3 linked regions of the Kluyveromyces lactis genome follow. The protein of the gene in region 1 interacts with the protein of each later gene in a pairwise test. Links are inferred from orthologs where the notes say so. Each region holds a gene or a part of one and is shown in the gene's direction. Other genes may lie near its edges. The genes, in order: YIP5, TVP23 and YIP4.

Region 1 (4,844 bases):
ATGCGCCATTTATATACCATTCTTTCAGGGTATTTTTAAGACAGAAAGTCTTAGCCTGGGAGATTTACTGTTCCTCTTAACGTTAAGCAGCAGCGTTTTCATTGGTGATGAAATCAGGAAATACTATGTCAAGAAAAATAGATACTTGGACTCATATAGCTCCTCAATTGTTTAATTGGTCTGATAAAAAGTTATATATTTCATGTATTCATGTATATTAAATTGCAACGAGCATTTATATGTTACTAGTTATGGTAATATGCATTAGTGTTACTTTTATGAATAGTATATATCGGAAGCTAAAATACTCTGGAACATTTCACTAAAAGTTAATGATGTTGTTACTAGCTGCCTTCCTTAATCTGTTCATAATTGCTAGCCCTTCTTCGTTGGCTTCTGTTCCCTCTACAACAATTAGGTCTACGTTGTCTTCTTCATCAACTTTTCTCAAAAGAGCAAAAAGATTGGCTTGGATCTCCTTGCCTGTTGTACCGAGTGATTCATGTATGCACTTGCCATCTATGAAATGTTTATTCAAATGTAAGCTGTTCAAGAATGCAACCTTTTTGGCACCCTGCTGTATGATTTCCTTGTCAACTAAGCTTTTCAGTCTACCCAATCTTTCGGATGATATGATTTGCGAATCGCCTTCAGGCACCAATAAAATAACCTTAGCCTTAGGGGAATAATGTCTATATTTCATACCTGGAGTTTTGACTTTTTCATCGTCCTTGATGTTTACTTTAGTCTCTACCAGACACTCTTTCCATAGAGGTCCGCCAATGTTTAGAATATTCTCATAGGTAAAACCACCTGGCCTTAATAACATTGGCGGAGTTACAAGCCCATCGACTACAGTAGATTCGACACCAACAGAACATTTACCACCATCTAAAATAAGTGGTATTCTACCATTCAAGTCATGGAATACGTGTTCAGCGGTCGTTGGTGATGGTCTTGTAGATGCGTTGGCTGAAGGTGCTGCGATTGGGGTATCACTCAATGCTATTAATGCTCTTGCAATCGGATTAGCAGGGATTCGACACGCAAATGTTGGTTGATTTGCAGTAGTCAATTTGGATAATGTGTTTCTGTTTGAACCGTCGGGAATTGATAAGAGTATGGTAAGTGGCCCAGGCCACAGTTTTTCCACTAATGGATGATAAATCTCTGGTACATGGGAAAGAGGCTTACAATCATCAGAGATATCTGAGTATATGACACGGTTAAGTTGAGAAAGGGACGAAATATGGGTTATCAAAGGGTTATCGCTAGGTCTGTTCTTTGCCTTGTATATATTTTTTACAGATTCATCGTTCAAGGCAGAACCTCCAAGTCCATACACAGTCTCAGTTGGAAAGGCAACAGTTTCTGAGGTATCTCGTATTATACCAGCAGCTTCTAACAGGTTTTTTTCAGTTTCAGCACATGTGAATGTCGGTAAAGATCCGTCTATATGGGCACTATCTGAGAAATGTATCGCTGCAGGATCGACTTTCAGAATCCTGGTAGTTAATTTCATTACACTTCGTAGCATACACTGGGAAAAATTAGGGAGAGTAGTGTAATGTAATTGTAATATGAATTGATAACTATGACAACCTGAATTACTGAATCTTTGGTATATAAATGACCACTAGAGTCGGATTATTTAGCAGTCTTTCCAATACGATGGCCTCTTCATCATGCCAGCCAGCCTCATCTTTCAATGTTCTGCATTAAAATGCCAGCTTGAGTTAACTGCTGAAAAGGTGAAAAAGAAAAAAACTAATTCGTATATCTCATCTTGTACGAACATGACACTTTCCGTAATCCTGAGCTTGATTAAGCTCGATTCAGGATAAGACAGCACATGTTAATCATAATCCTATAGATTGACAATTGGCGTCGGAGCTTTGTAACCGTGTTGATCTGATTTGATATGCATTAGAAAATGGTGAGTTGAGGTACAAAATATATAGATCGGTATGCTCTCATATTTCCAATATGACGACTATCCCGGTTCACAACAAAACCACCTCTCAATTCGACCGAAAATCTCAGATTTGAATAGAATATCTTGTTTATAATCATTATCCACAAGGGATGCAATTTCACGACACTTCATTGAAAATAGTCAAAGGCTGCATCATAATGGCAGATACGGCTTATTGGAAAAAGCGCTTCGAATCACATGCCAGGTCAATTACAACTCATGGCGGATTAGTTACCTTTTGTAATTTACTTATCGTACGTTGCTTAAAATTCTTTACTGTTATATTTAGTATGCCCTAAAGCTTACCGACAATAAAAGAGTTAATTAGAATGACGGAGTCTTTAATTATCTGGAATTAGGTCGATTGAATTTGTATGGTAAAAAAGTCCGTTACCTACGTCTCCTAGAAATCGATCAAGAGTTTTATAAATTTGCTGGTTAGTCATACCTGGATACATCTTTTACATTTGCGGTGTTCTACGTATGAAGTGTGCCCAATATGATCAAGCAACGGATCATGTTCAGCTGTGCTTTTACCCGCTTCTTTAGCGGTGTGGCAATACGGTGAACATTTGTTAGTAGAGCAGGGGCCTATTTAAGTCACGTGCAAGTGTATTCTTATTTTGTTACCCGTATATATATATATATGTCTTGCCGGTAGCAATTGAAAAATGCTGTTCAAAATCACTTCAACATACGCATAGTAAATAAGGTTTATTGAATCTCTAAACATTGGAAAGAAATATCGGGCATTTATCTCTGACATAATTCAGAATTTGAACGGTAGCAAATAATTTTGTCGCACAATTGTTGACTTATAGATTTTCCTTCTACAATGAGCGCTAAAAAGGATTTGATAGATCGTGATGATGATGATATTAATCCATTTGAAGACGACTCCTTTGTTCCTCAAGTTACACCCGGCTTAAAACCATTCGAGCCTGAGCTCCAAGATATAACGTTAGAAACTACTAGAGAGGCTCCTCAACCTGCTATAACTACAGGAAAGGCCAGTATCTTCTCAAAGCTATCTCCATATTTTCAAGTAGATGAAACCACACTCAAACAAAAACTTATCACCGCATTGAAACTAGGTGAATTGAAATCATTGAGGGATCCTGAAAGCCAAGCAGATGCACAATTGGATTTGTACAGTACTGTATGGATAACAGCCACTGTCATCATGGTACTGTTCCTATCTTATTCCGGTAAGAGTGTTATCGGATCACTAATCACAAATAGCTTTTCTGATGTAATCGATTTCCAGATCATGATCAATTGTCTATTCTTATTCTACATTTACGTTTTGGGGGTGCCAATCTTAGCATTTTTGATCTGTAAATTCGTGTTCAAAGAACCCTTTGATGTCATAACAGCAATTGACACATATGGTGTCAGTAACGTTGTGTGGGTGCCAATCGGTTTCATAAGTGTAGTGACGGGACTTGTGGGACCCTTCGAAAATATAATAGAATGGGTCCTAGTGGCAATAGGAGGTGCATACAGCGGTGGTATTATCTATATACAACTAAAAAATGTTGTAACAGAGTTACAAAATGGTAAAGTTCTATTGCTTGCCATGATTGGGGTTCATATTCTATTTACGTTACTGGTAAGATGGATCATCCTTTAAAGTATATACTCTACAACTTACTCAAAGCATGATAATATGACACCTAAAAAATATAACGCTTGTATCAGTTATGATATGTAAAACGGGTGTTTAATTAAACATATTAGACCAGGTATATATTAACTGTTGAACAGAGTACAATAAAACGATTAAAAACCAAAGAAAAAAACAATGAAAGAGAATAACAGGGAAAAAAACTTCACCCCTCTAATGTACCCAAAGGGGGATAATGTACATCAGGAGAGGAAATAATGAATAGAATAGTTGAAATGGTATGTCCATCATTAATAGAAAAAAGTTCAATGAAAAGTTGAAATAGTGTTACTCGTTTTATGAAAAGGGTGCTGAACGATAATGCTTTTTGCCCTGTGAATTGTATATGAATGTATAGGTTATCAATCCAGTGAATAACCAACATTGAGGTAGTCCTTGACTGTGAAATCTCCTAAAGAATTTCGTTTGCCCAGTTTTTTGTTCAAAGTAGAAAATACGGCGATATCGTTTCTAGTGAACCCTTTGCTAAAACTACAATCACGGTCTTTTTTCTTTTGGCATGAGCTACAAGAGCTGAAAGCAATCAACTTATCAACATGTCTAACCAGCGACATGTCTTTGCGTTCTGCTAATTGTTTCCTGACCTCGGTCGGGATTTTCATCAATATATCTGGTCTACAAGTATCAATTGACAAAGGACAATGTAATGATTCATCTTCTTTGCAATTGAAAAGCAGTGAAGGGTCTTGTGATATGACTAGTACGGTGGCATCGCATTTAATTTTCTTTGACCTGCAAACATCGCAGCTTGGTCCTGTTCTTTGCCTTTTGCACTTAGAGGAAGTGATAACTTTAGCTCCTGAGATATTAGCCAGTAGTTGGTTATCATCAAAGCCTCGTGTTACTCCAGCATCCTCTTCCACAGAAGATGGTGAATTTGAGACAGATTGAGCTCTTGATAGTGGTGACTTTGATCTTGAAGAGGAGCGTGATGTAGTACTTGACGTTGTGTTGGAAGAAACAGCAGAACTCAAAGTGAACGAAGTGTTACTGCTCATTCTCATGCTATTCTTTCTTGAGTTTTTCCGTCCTCTTTTCTTGAACGCTACTGGAGCAGCCAAAGATTCTTCATCAGCACTAGAGTTCGAGCGTTTTCTCTGCAAACAGTCGTGTATTAGAGGATGCTGATGACTGTTATAGCTACTGCCGATAGTATCCTTTGGAAGGGCGACGTTGTTGGTG
Region 2 (4,717 bases), on another chromosome or scaffold:
ACTGGAAGTAATGTCAAGCTTTCAATTTAATGATCAATCAAGCATTCGGTCCACATCAAGGGGTATCAATCAGCCTACACTACTCCCCAGGTCTACATCGACTAGTGATTTATTTGCTTTCCCATCGTATTCGCATTCCCAAAAGCGTTTGTTTCAAAATAGCGAAAATGGTGTAGAATTGTCCAAATCGGTGTCCATACCCAACCTGGCTTTAATCCCAGAGCATAAAGCACATCACAGGTTGACTCCTTACCAGATACAGAGAAGCCATATGAAACAATCGTTTCAGTTTCCTAATGGAGAAAGTTTTACCCCAAGAAGACAATTACCAAAGAGTGCAAGCTCTGTTTCTTTACACAGACAAAGATCTGCTAACAGTCACCCAAAAATTACCGCTATGCATAGATCTTCGAGTATGGTGACTGTATCGTTACCGCAGTACGAAGATATGTCGAAAAAGCCATCCCAGTTACAGAATCCGCATTCGCGGGTCAATCATCTCCCAACAATTTCTAATGAGTTGCTGCCTTCTAATACTAGTCGATTTGGTTCTTTAACCACTACCCCAAGGTCAAACACCAGAGCACCTTCTTTATGCAACACAAAAGCTCCCAACAAATCAGTATTAACAGCATCATCTTTGCATTTTAATCGGTTACAATCGCACCAGTCACAGGTGAGTATCTCTTCGTTCTCCAATAAGCAAACAGCGTCCAGTAATGATTCACAAAGCACTGAAACTTCCATAAAAGAGATCTGTGATCCAGGGAGTGCAACCAGTACAGATCTCAGCGATGAGGAACTAACAAAGAAAATTTTGTCATCATCCGTTAGAACCCAAAAAATAGTAGCAGAGAGCACTGCAAAGGCCAGCAATGATCTATTGCAGGTTCCTTCGACAATAATTTCTTTCCCACAAAAATGTAGCTCACATCATGATAATACTCACATAGACACTGCTACAAGTGGGTTAACGGGTCCTACTCCTAATGTATCTATCAAAAAGGAGTTAGTTGTCTCAAAAATACCTATATCAGGAAACTCGAATGAGAAGAAAGAGGAGAAAGCTAAAAAGTCAGTGGAATCCTCTCCGGTTAAGAGATCGAGCTCCAGATTGAGTTCCTTCTTTAGAAAACTGTTTCCCTTAAAGAAAAAAGCCAGGAAGGAAGACATTCAAGAAAAGGTATCTGCTAAAACTCAATGGCAGAAAGCGGTTACATCAAAACCGACTACATCAAAGCATATTATTTTACCATCTGAATCAGCAGAACCTCCTTCACTTCTTGATCTAGAAACAGAAGACGATATAGAAGATGATGGTTTTAAAGATCTCATGGACATCGATTTAGTGTTTGATTCTTTATTGTTGAAGTCTGAACAACACCAACAAAATTCCGATATTGCGTTAATTAACCAATTTAATGAAAGCACAAGAATTAGTCCACCAACCGTTGAACCACCTTTGCGCTCTTCGAAGAGACCTTTACTGGTAAAGGATTATCAAGGAAGACTCATACATCACCATAATAACGGGCAAACCACACATAGCGATCGCATCATAGAACATTTGCATCAAAATTGGAAAGCTGTACACTTCAATGCAGTAGTTCCTTCAGTAGTACGTTCCAATGATTCATCTTCACCTGTATCTGCTAAAAAATGCAGATTTAATGAAGAAATATACGTTAATGACACTTTCTCACCAACGGAGTATTTAAGGTCTGATAAGGCTTTCCCTGAAAGTCGGAAGCAATTGTCAAAAAGCAGATACATCGACGGAATCAAAATGGAACTGAATGAATTCAAGAAGAGAGAAATGCTAGTTCATCCTAACAGCTCTCAGTACACTCATTTCTTTCTATGACTCAAAGAAAAAAATTACCGAATACTATCACACACAAGGTAATACTAATATACAATCAAACTCAATAATTTTATATAATCTTTAATTTAGTTAGTTAATTATAATTATAATGATATGCGTCACCATGAACTTTCAACAATTATTGGTGCTTAGCCCATCATTTCCCATGAAAGATCCAGCAAAATATACCTCTCTCATGAATCTGCAACTTTCAGAGTTTCCGGACCTTAAGAAAAATAAAGGTCTTGAACCAAAAATACACCAAAGAACCAACGAAAAGAGAGACGACTTAGAAAACTCATACAAACTAGGGTATACCGTCAAGGAAATCGATCAGCCTATTGAGATATAGTAGATATGGATTCAGCAAGAAACTTCTACAAGACAATTTTGGCATCTTCTCATCCTTTGATTCTAACGATCCACCTTCTGGGAAAAGCGGTGCCAATTGTATTTTATTTGTTAGGATCATGGTTCCTTAGTTCCACAGTACAGTTCATAATTGTTATTTTAACATTGGCAGCAGACTTCTACTTCACGAAGAATATCAATGGTAGAAAGTTAATTCAACAGCGATGGTGGTATGATGTTAGTGGAGAAGACACTACGACGTTTAGATTTGAATCATTCAAAGAATATCCAGATGTTGCGGCGGCCCCAATCAACCCAATCGATTCAAAACTATTTTGGCTGTCACTTTATGTAGCTCCTACTATTTGGGTGGTCTTTGGATTTTTATGTTTGATTAAGTTCCAGTTTGTGTATTTGATACTAGTAATCTTTGCAGGTGGTTTAAATTTATGGAATGCTTACGCTTACCGTTTATGTGATCAATGGGAACCTGGCCATACAGCCGAAGCACCATTGTTCCAACTTCCAATGCTTCCATCGTTTGCAAACCTCGACAGAGTGACCAGATTGCAATCATTTTTCACCAGGTCTTGATAAAACTACAAATTTATTAAAAAGTACATAGATTTAGGTACATCAATGGAATGACACTCGTACAAATGTGAATAATACATCTTCTAACCAAAGGAAAACGAAAAGGTAGTCTTTTATCTCCTTTTATAAATACATGGCTTAAGTAGCCATTTTCCTTCTGGAATCTGTTCTCTTTTCTTCTGTAGCTCTTCCTTTTCTGTCTCTACTTCGATAAACTTCTGTCTACGTTCCAATTTCGCTTTTCTTTCTTCAATAATGTCTTGAGGTGGTTTGAAGAACTCGAATCTTGTAAACATTTTGTTACTGTCATCAGTATTCTTGTGGAAGAAACCTTGTAGTTTCAAGGCATTTACAAATTCTTCACCCTTCCCGTCACCAAATCTTGATTTGATTTCAGCAATCCATAGTTCTCCACGAGGAGCTAAAATTCTGTACGCTTCGTTAATAAAATCTAGGAAATTTGTTCCCATCAACGCCAAACAGAACACTACGATCGTACATGATTCATCTGGCAAGGGAACATTTCTGATATCGGCAACTGTTATTCTTTCATTTGCTTTCTTTAGGTCAAAGCTATGCACTTTACAAGATTTCTTTTGGAATTTCTTGGCGGATTTGTTGTGACTCTTGAAGAAGTTATTGATGTCTAAAGCTAGCTGAGCTTCACCACACCCCATATCTGCGACTACAATAGTTTTATCCTTTAAACCTGGTAATCCACCAGGAGCATTAACAGGCTTGTTTGCTCTTGCACGTATTTGTTCAACGAAAACATCAACTGGGTTTTCTGGCCAGGATTGAACCTGAGATCTGAACCCGTCGTGGTACTCGTCAAATAATTGGGGTTGTTCTTTTATTAGCTTTAGCGCATTCTCTGAAGAAATAGTGTATAGTTGTTCATTGATCCATCTGAATCTTGAACCGGTAAGTTTGGCCATCATTTTTTGTTGTAATGCTGTTAACGGCTTCTTCGTCGCTAAAACTGGCTGTGATGCTTCTACTTCTTCTATTTTTCTTTTCTTAGTTGGTTTTTCGGTCTGTTTCGCAGGTGTTGGTTCCTCTAAACCTTCTTGTTCAACTGGCTCTGACTCTTTTGAATTAGCATTACGCCTTTGCTCAGCCAATTTCTGTTGATATTCCTTACGTTCTTTACGACTTTTCTTGACTTTACCACCGTCCTTTTTAGCATTGTCAAACTCAATTTTGCTGGAATCGAGATTCCAACCTTCAACCTTAAATAGACCCATGATTTACGTGTTAGTATTGATCTTTTGATCAGCTATTGCAACGGGCAAGAATCTGTTTAAGTATCTTTGTTAATATCCATCTCATCTCATCTCTTAGTTTTGACGTTCGCTTTGATTTTTTTTTTCAGTGCCAATCATTCGAAAAGCAATTGTGAAAACAGAAGCTCACACATAATCTTCAATAAAGGAAATGTGTCAAACGCAGATTGTGTACGAAATAGTTAACAGATTTGACGTTCAATGTACAAGGAACTTTTGTGATTATGGCCGGATGATACGGCACTGTATAGTTCTGCTTGCCCATGATCTTTTAATTTTGTCTTAATTATGGTTACAATTCAATTCGCTATTTAGATTTAGAATAGGTGAAGAAGACTTTATAGCGTTCTTCTGATGTAGGATCTACCCACCAGTCTATAAGATTTCCGATATGAGTTGTATTGAGAAAATGCTTACACATTTGAAGAATCAATTTTTTGGACAGTAGAGGTAATTTACAGAAATTTCTAATCTCGCTGTACTTTATCGTAATCTGCGGAATTTGAACATTAATCAACGATTGAAATCGAGTGATTATGTATCGATAGCAATTATGCAAGTTTGTCATGTTTATCGTGAAACTATCAAGAGTGATAATTGCCATTTCCGCTAGTTGTGCTAG
Region 3 (4,712 bases), on another chromosome or scaffold:
ACCCGAAAAACGAGATCTACACCGTTTCGTATTGTGTTCAAACCTGTCGCCAATAACCACACACTGACCTGACTCGAGCTGGCGCCAATACTGATGATCTTCCCGGAAACAAATGGGAAGGAAAACACTGAAAATACCGTGTTTTCCCAATGAATAAAACACAAGTTGTAAGTAATGCCAAAAAGCGTTACCGAAAGTTTTCAATTCTCAATTTTCACTTTTGTTCTCCTTCATATGGGAAAAAAAGAAAAGAAGTCGCAGTGTCAGCTTGGTATCGCTTCGCATTGGACTGGAAAACCAACTGGGGCTAGGGATGGGGCTAGTGCCCAGTGTTGCCTTGCCAAGTGTCGTATATGTACTATTTAGTTATGGAATGGGTTGTGTTCTGTTTTTGTTTGTGAGCGGGAGGGTGCTAGGTATTTCAGAGATGTCGGGTTTCGATGGCAAAGATGCTACTACTACTGCTACTGCTGCTGCGCAGCAGCAGTAGCAGTGTCTATATTCTGCCTAGCATTTCGCACCGCAGCTCGCGCACGCAGCCTCTGACATTTACGTCCCTTGCCTTCTTTGCCTACTTCTCTTCTTCTCTTCTCTTCTCTTCTCTTCTTCTCTTTCCACTCGTTTACCATATTTATTATTAGAATCAAGATGTAAAGAGCTGGCAGGCTGCAGTTCGTTACATTCTCCATTAGGGATACATGAAAAAATACATATAGTAAATAAAACAAGGGCGTACAATAAGCTACCGCACCTTGCTATTTCGGGCAACACCAAGGCATAGAATCCGTTGGTTTGGATGTGTTCTCACTTCGTTGGTTCTGCCCTACCCGATAAGTTAGAGAAATGATGTATAGTGATGATATAGGGGAGACCAAAATGAGGGAAAGAGGGAAATCGTTATGAACGAAACCAGGGTAACAATGAGCGATGACCACGTCTCCCAAGGTTGTCGTTTTAGGATATTGAACCAGGAAATGCTAGAGGCTGGAATGGCGTAATGGAACCGTGCACTGTGGTCGAAGGGGATGTTTATTCTTGCAGTTTGGGAAACGTCTCGTGATAGGCTCTCACAACATAACGGGCAAACGCCTCTAAGAAATACCTTGCTTCTTATTAACCCCCAGTAGCTTAGTGGGCGGACCAGGCGGTCTGCGCGAATTGCCAGAAAACCGAAGTTGTGACAAATAAAAAAAAGTTACTTTCTCGGCAGTTCGAATCTCAAATGATGAATAACTATGCGTGAACAATCTCTGATTGATACAAATAACGCTTGTATCAAAGGATTAAAAAACATGTTGCCTTCCTTCTGAATTGACTTATAAGTAAAAACCTCTATTTTATTCTTTTTTTACAATTAATTACCATATCCCAGCGAGTAAGGCCAATTATGGACACCATTGAACCAGATTTTATTGAAACTGAGACTGGTAACGGTTACGGTTCCACTTTATCCACTTCTGCTAGAGGAACGTTAGATGAAAGTATCGTGTCCACTTTCAAAAGAGATTTCCATGAGATCAATGATAAATTAAAGAAAGTAGTCTACCCACATTTCCCATTGGGTTCACCAAGTGCTCAAGATCAACATGTTTTCCAAGGTACCGACCTCTGGGCCCCTCTATGTTTCATTATACTATACTCGTTGTTCTTATCCAAGGGTCGTGGACGGTTTTCCTCGTTTTTCATCACTTGTTGGCTGGTGATCAGTGCTATGGCCACACATTTGAAACTTTTGAATCCACATGAACCAATGTCTTGGATGTCATATTTGTCTCTTGCAGGTTATTGCATGTTCCCGCAAGTGATCAATTCGTTGGCATGTTCAATTATCTTACCTTTATTCAATAAGATCCCTAAAGTTACACTTATAAGACTAATAGTGATAGCAAGAATCGTCTCGTTTGCACTATGTTCGTCATGGTCAATAATATCAATGTGGAAAGTATCGAAATCCCAGACTTTGGTTCAAAAATACCCATTGGCTTTATGTTTAGTAACGCTAGGTTGGTTATCTGTGATTTGTTGAATCGGCCGCATTGCACGCACCCAAAAAAAACAAACTATCCACTTTATAAACCTGTTGTAAATAAATATATAAACATGCTTCGAAGTACAAGGACCTTTTCACCAATCAATTATCTCTTATCATTTTCTGTCTTAATTCTCCTCTGTATTTTCTATTAAAAGCTGCACCCTTGGCCTCTTTTACTGCAAAATGATGATGAAATTTAAAGGATTTGAAATAGGAATTACCAGAATCCCATTCTGATCAAAAGCATCGGTGAAAGGAAAAAGAGGGAGAACAAGCTGTATTATCCATCAACCACAGATTGTACCTTAAGATATCGATAGTCTAGTATCAGTGCTAATACGTTTCGGTACGAAAACTGCAGAGTTTATTTTGTTGAGTAATTGGGAGCCATCTTCCTTTTTTCTGTTGTTGGCCCTTCTTGATATTTTGGGTTCTGCTAGTCAGCCAGGAGCATACAAGATACGCATAGCAAATAGCTGCTTCAATAGCTGTCACATCGATTCAAGAACCATACAAACTTCACTTTCAAAAAATTTTTTCCAGTAGAATATGCCGTTTCTTCTTCCCTCAAATTGTTCTTGTTATAACCTACACCTACCGCAATTGGATGCTCAAACGGCGGATAGTATGGATGAATGCTCCATCAGAAGATCTACATTGGACGTAAGAACTGGTGCTGCAACAGTACTTGCCAGATCGGGGATATTCGTGCACGGTGGGTTGACAATCCCTTTGAATTTACAAGAAATAACATCTACTAATCTACAACAAGAGTTGATTATGCATTTTGCCCGAGAAAGGAAGGACTCAAATAGATTTCAAAACCTGGGACAATGGATAAGTAAGGAAGTGTTCTTTTTAGATTTGATTTCAAGACGTTGGGAACGGGTAGAAACTATGCCTGAAACTGATCCCATGGGTAATCCGATGCCCCGGTTGACAGAGAGGTTATTTCATTCTGTATGCTATTGTCAAGAGGCTATCTTTGTTTTCGGTGGTTTGACAGTTTCAGAACAATCTGATTATGAGTTTATTTCCACTAATGAACTTTGGAAATTGGATTTACATAATAAAGTCTGGTCATTAATCAGTAAGGACCCGTCAGTGACAAGAAGATTCAATAATCAGATGCATGTCTTGTACGAATCGGATCCAAAGAAGGACACCAAGTTAATTATAGTGGGTGGTTTGAATAATTTGGACCAACCAGTTGAAACTATTGACATTTTCAATTTATCGACAAACTGTTGGGAAACGGATGTGTGGGACGAAGAGGACGATTTACATAATATAACAGTTAATATCGGAGGCAAATCTGTTCCTCTCATCTCCGAAAATAACTTTTCGTTGTTGGTTGAAGAAAATGAGGCTAAACTGCCGTCGTTGGCTGTGTATTCTCCCTCAATAGAGGAATCTCATGATCATGATCATGAGTTTAAGTGCAATTTCAACTCCGAAGAGAATCCACTTTTCGCCTTACCTTTAATGCCGGATGCCGAAGGTGCTAGAATGCACGTCTATGATGACAACGATAGACGAAGAAAAAGATTACATATCGCCTATAATTTGCAATGGCCCACCGGCGATAAATTCGGTTATAACATCATAATATCTGGTTTCCATCCAAACTTACAGTCAGACAATTTTCATTGTTTCCTTTACAACATCACTTCAGGGAAATGGACTAGATTGAGTATCAACTGCGATGATATACATAGCTCAAAACATAGATTCTGGAAATTGTTCTTATGGGAATCGCATCACAAGGCTTTGCTTCTTGGTACCAAAAATGATTCTGGCTGTTTGCCCTCTGTACAAAAATTTGATAGACTGCTTTCCTTCGGGTTGCATATCACTAATTTATTCCATTCTGCTCAGAGAGATCAGAAATCCTCTAAATCATCCTCTGCAAAGAAAATACCGGGCAGTTTGGCTCAAACAGAGACAGACCAGTTCGAAAATTACAGTAGATATGTTGCCCCACCATCTGAAATCACATCTATAAGATCCGTCTTCCCATCTTATTCAATGGTTTTAGGTAAAGATTCTTTGGAAGTCTACAACAAGCTACTAGCAGATTTTGAGTTCATAACGGAAGATGACGAATCTGTCGCCGTTCCAAGTTTTTTACTTAGAAAGAGATGGGGTAGGTACTTCGATATGCTTTTGGCTAATGCTTATGTTCAAGTTTCAACAGATCGCAAAATACCGGAAAGCTTTTCCCAGATTTCAAAACTTTCTTCAGGAAACGTAGGGCAGTTAGGCGTCTCGCCGCATACATCTAGTTCAATATCTTCCATAGCTAAGGATGACAAGAAGCCAACATCACAAGGATCTTTGGACACATTTTTTAGCCGCCACAGACCAAGTGCACAGTCTGTGCAAAGCAGCACGCCTCCAATGGAAAGGAAATCCGCTTGCTTATTCTTCAATACGCCAAGCACATCTAAATTAACAAATGATAACTCGTCTCATTCGATAGCTTCTCATTCAGATAGCTTAGCAACCGCTACTAACGCCAACGACAGATTACCTACCTCTTTGGGAGTAAATCCTGATCATATAGTCTCTTTGGGAGAAATATCGGAGCAGTCTTCTCAGAGACGTCATTCAAACGCTGCTTCAGGTGTAACGAGTTCATCCGGTGGCATGGTATTTAGGGTTCCATTCAGGCCAAGCG

The links.
Region 2: the proteins of YIP5 (region 1) and TVP23 interact in a two-hybrid assay, tested with the Saccharomyces cerevisiae proteins (2 studies listed by BioGRID). The link is inferred for Kluyveromyces lactis from reciprocal best matches to the Saccharomyces cerevisiae genes YIP5 and TVP23.
Region 3: the proteins of YIP5 (region 1) and YIP4 interact in binary tests that used the Saccharomyces cerevisiae proteins (3 or more experiments, as listed by UniProt). The link is inferred for Kluyveromyces lactis from reciprocal best matches to the Saccharomyces cerevisiae genes YIP5 and YIP4.

Annotation. Positions count from the first base shown.
Region 1 is NC_006037.1:276,644-281,487, reverse strand, and holds YIP5 (Yip5p), read left to right. Parts: upstream 1-2,810; coding exon 2,811-3,608; downstream 3,609-4,844. Other genes in the region: Ca(2+)/Mn(2+)-transporting P-type ATPase PMR1, read left to right, coding at 1-175; SUA5 (threonylcarbamoyladenylate synthase), read right to left, coding at 323-1,537; SUT1 (Sut1p), read right to left, coding at 4,004-4,844. UniProt on the Saccharomyces cerevisiae protein: Possible role in vesicle-mediated transport. May be involved in proper membrane localization of Rab GTPases.
Region 2 is NC_006039.1:1,018,507-1,023,223, reverse strand, and holds TVP23 (Tvp23p), read left to right. Parts: upstream 1-2,221; coding exon 2,222-2,809; downstream 2,810-4,717. Other genes in the region: AFR1 (Afr1p), read left to right, coding at 11-1,864; RRP8 (25S rRNA (adenine645-N1)-methyltransferase), read right to left, coding at 2,923-4,056; STN1 (Stn1p), read right to left, coding at 4,403-4,717. UniProt on the Saccharomyces cerevisiae protein: Golgi membrane protein involved in vesicular trafficking.
Region 3 is NC_006042.1:1,154,380-1,159,091, reverse strand, and holds YIP4 (Yip4p), read left to right. Parts: upstream 1-1,387; coding exon 1,388-2,026; downstream 2,027-4,712. Other genes in the region: KLLA0_F12452g (uncharacterized protein), read left to right, coding at 2,582-4,712. UniProt on the Saccharomyces cerevisiae protein: May be involved in proper membrane localization of Rab GTPases.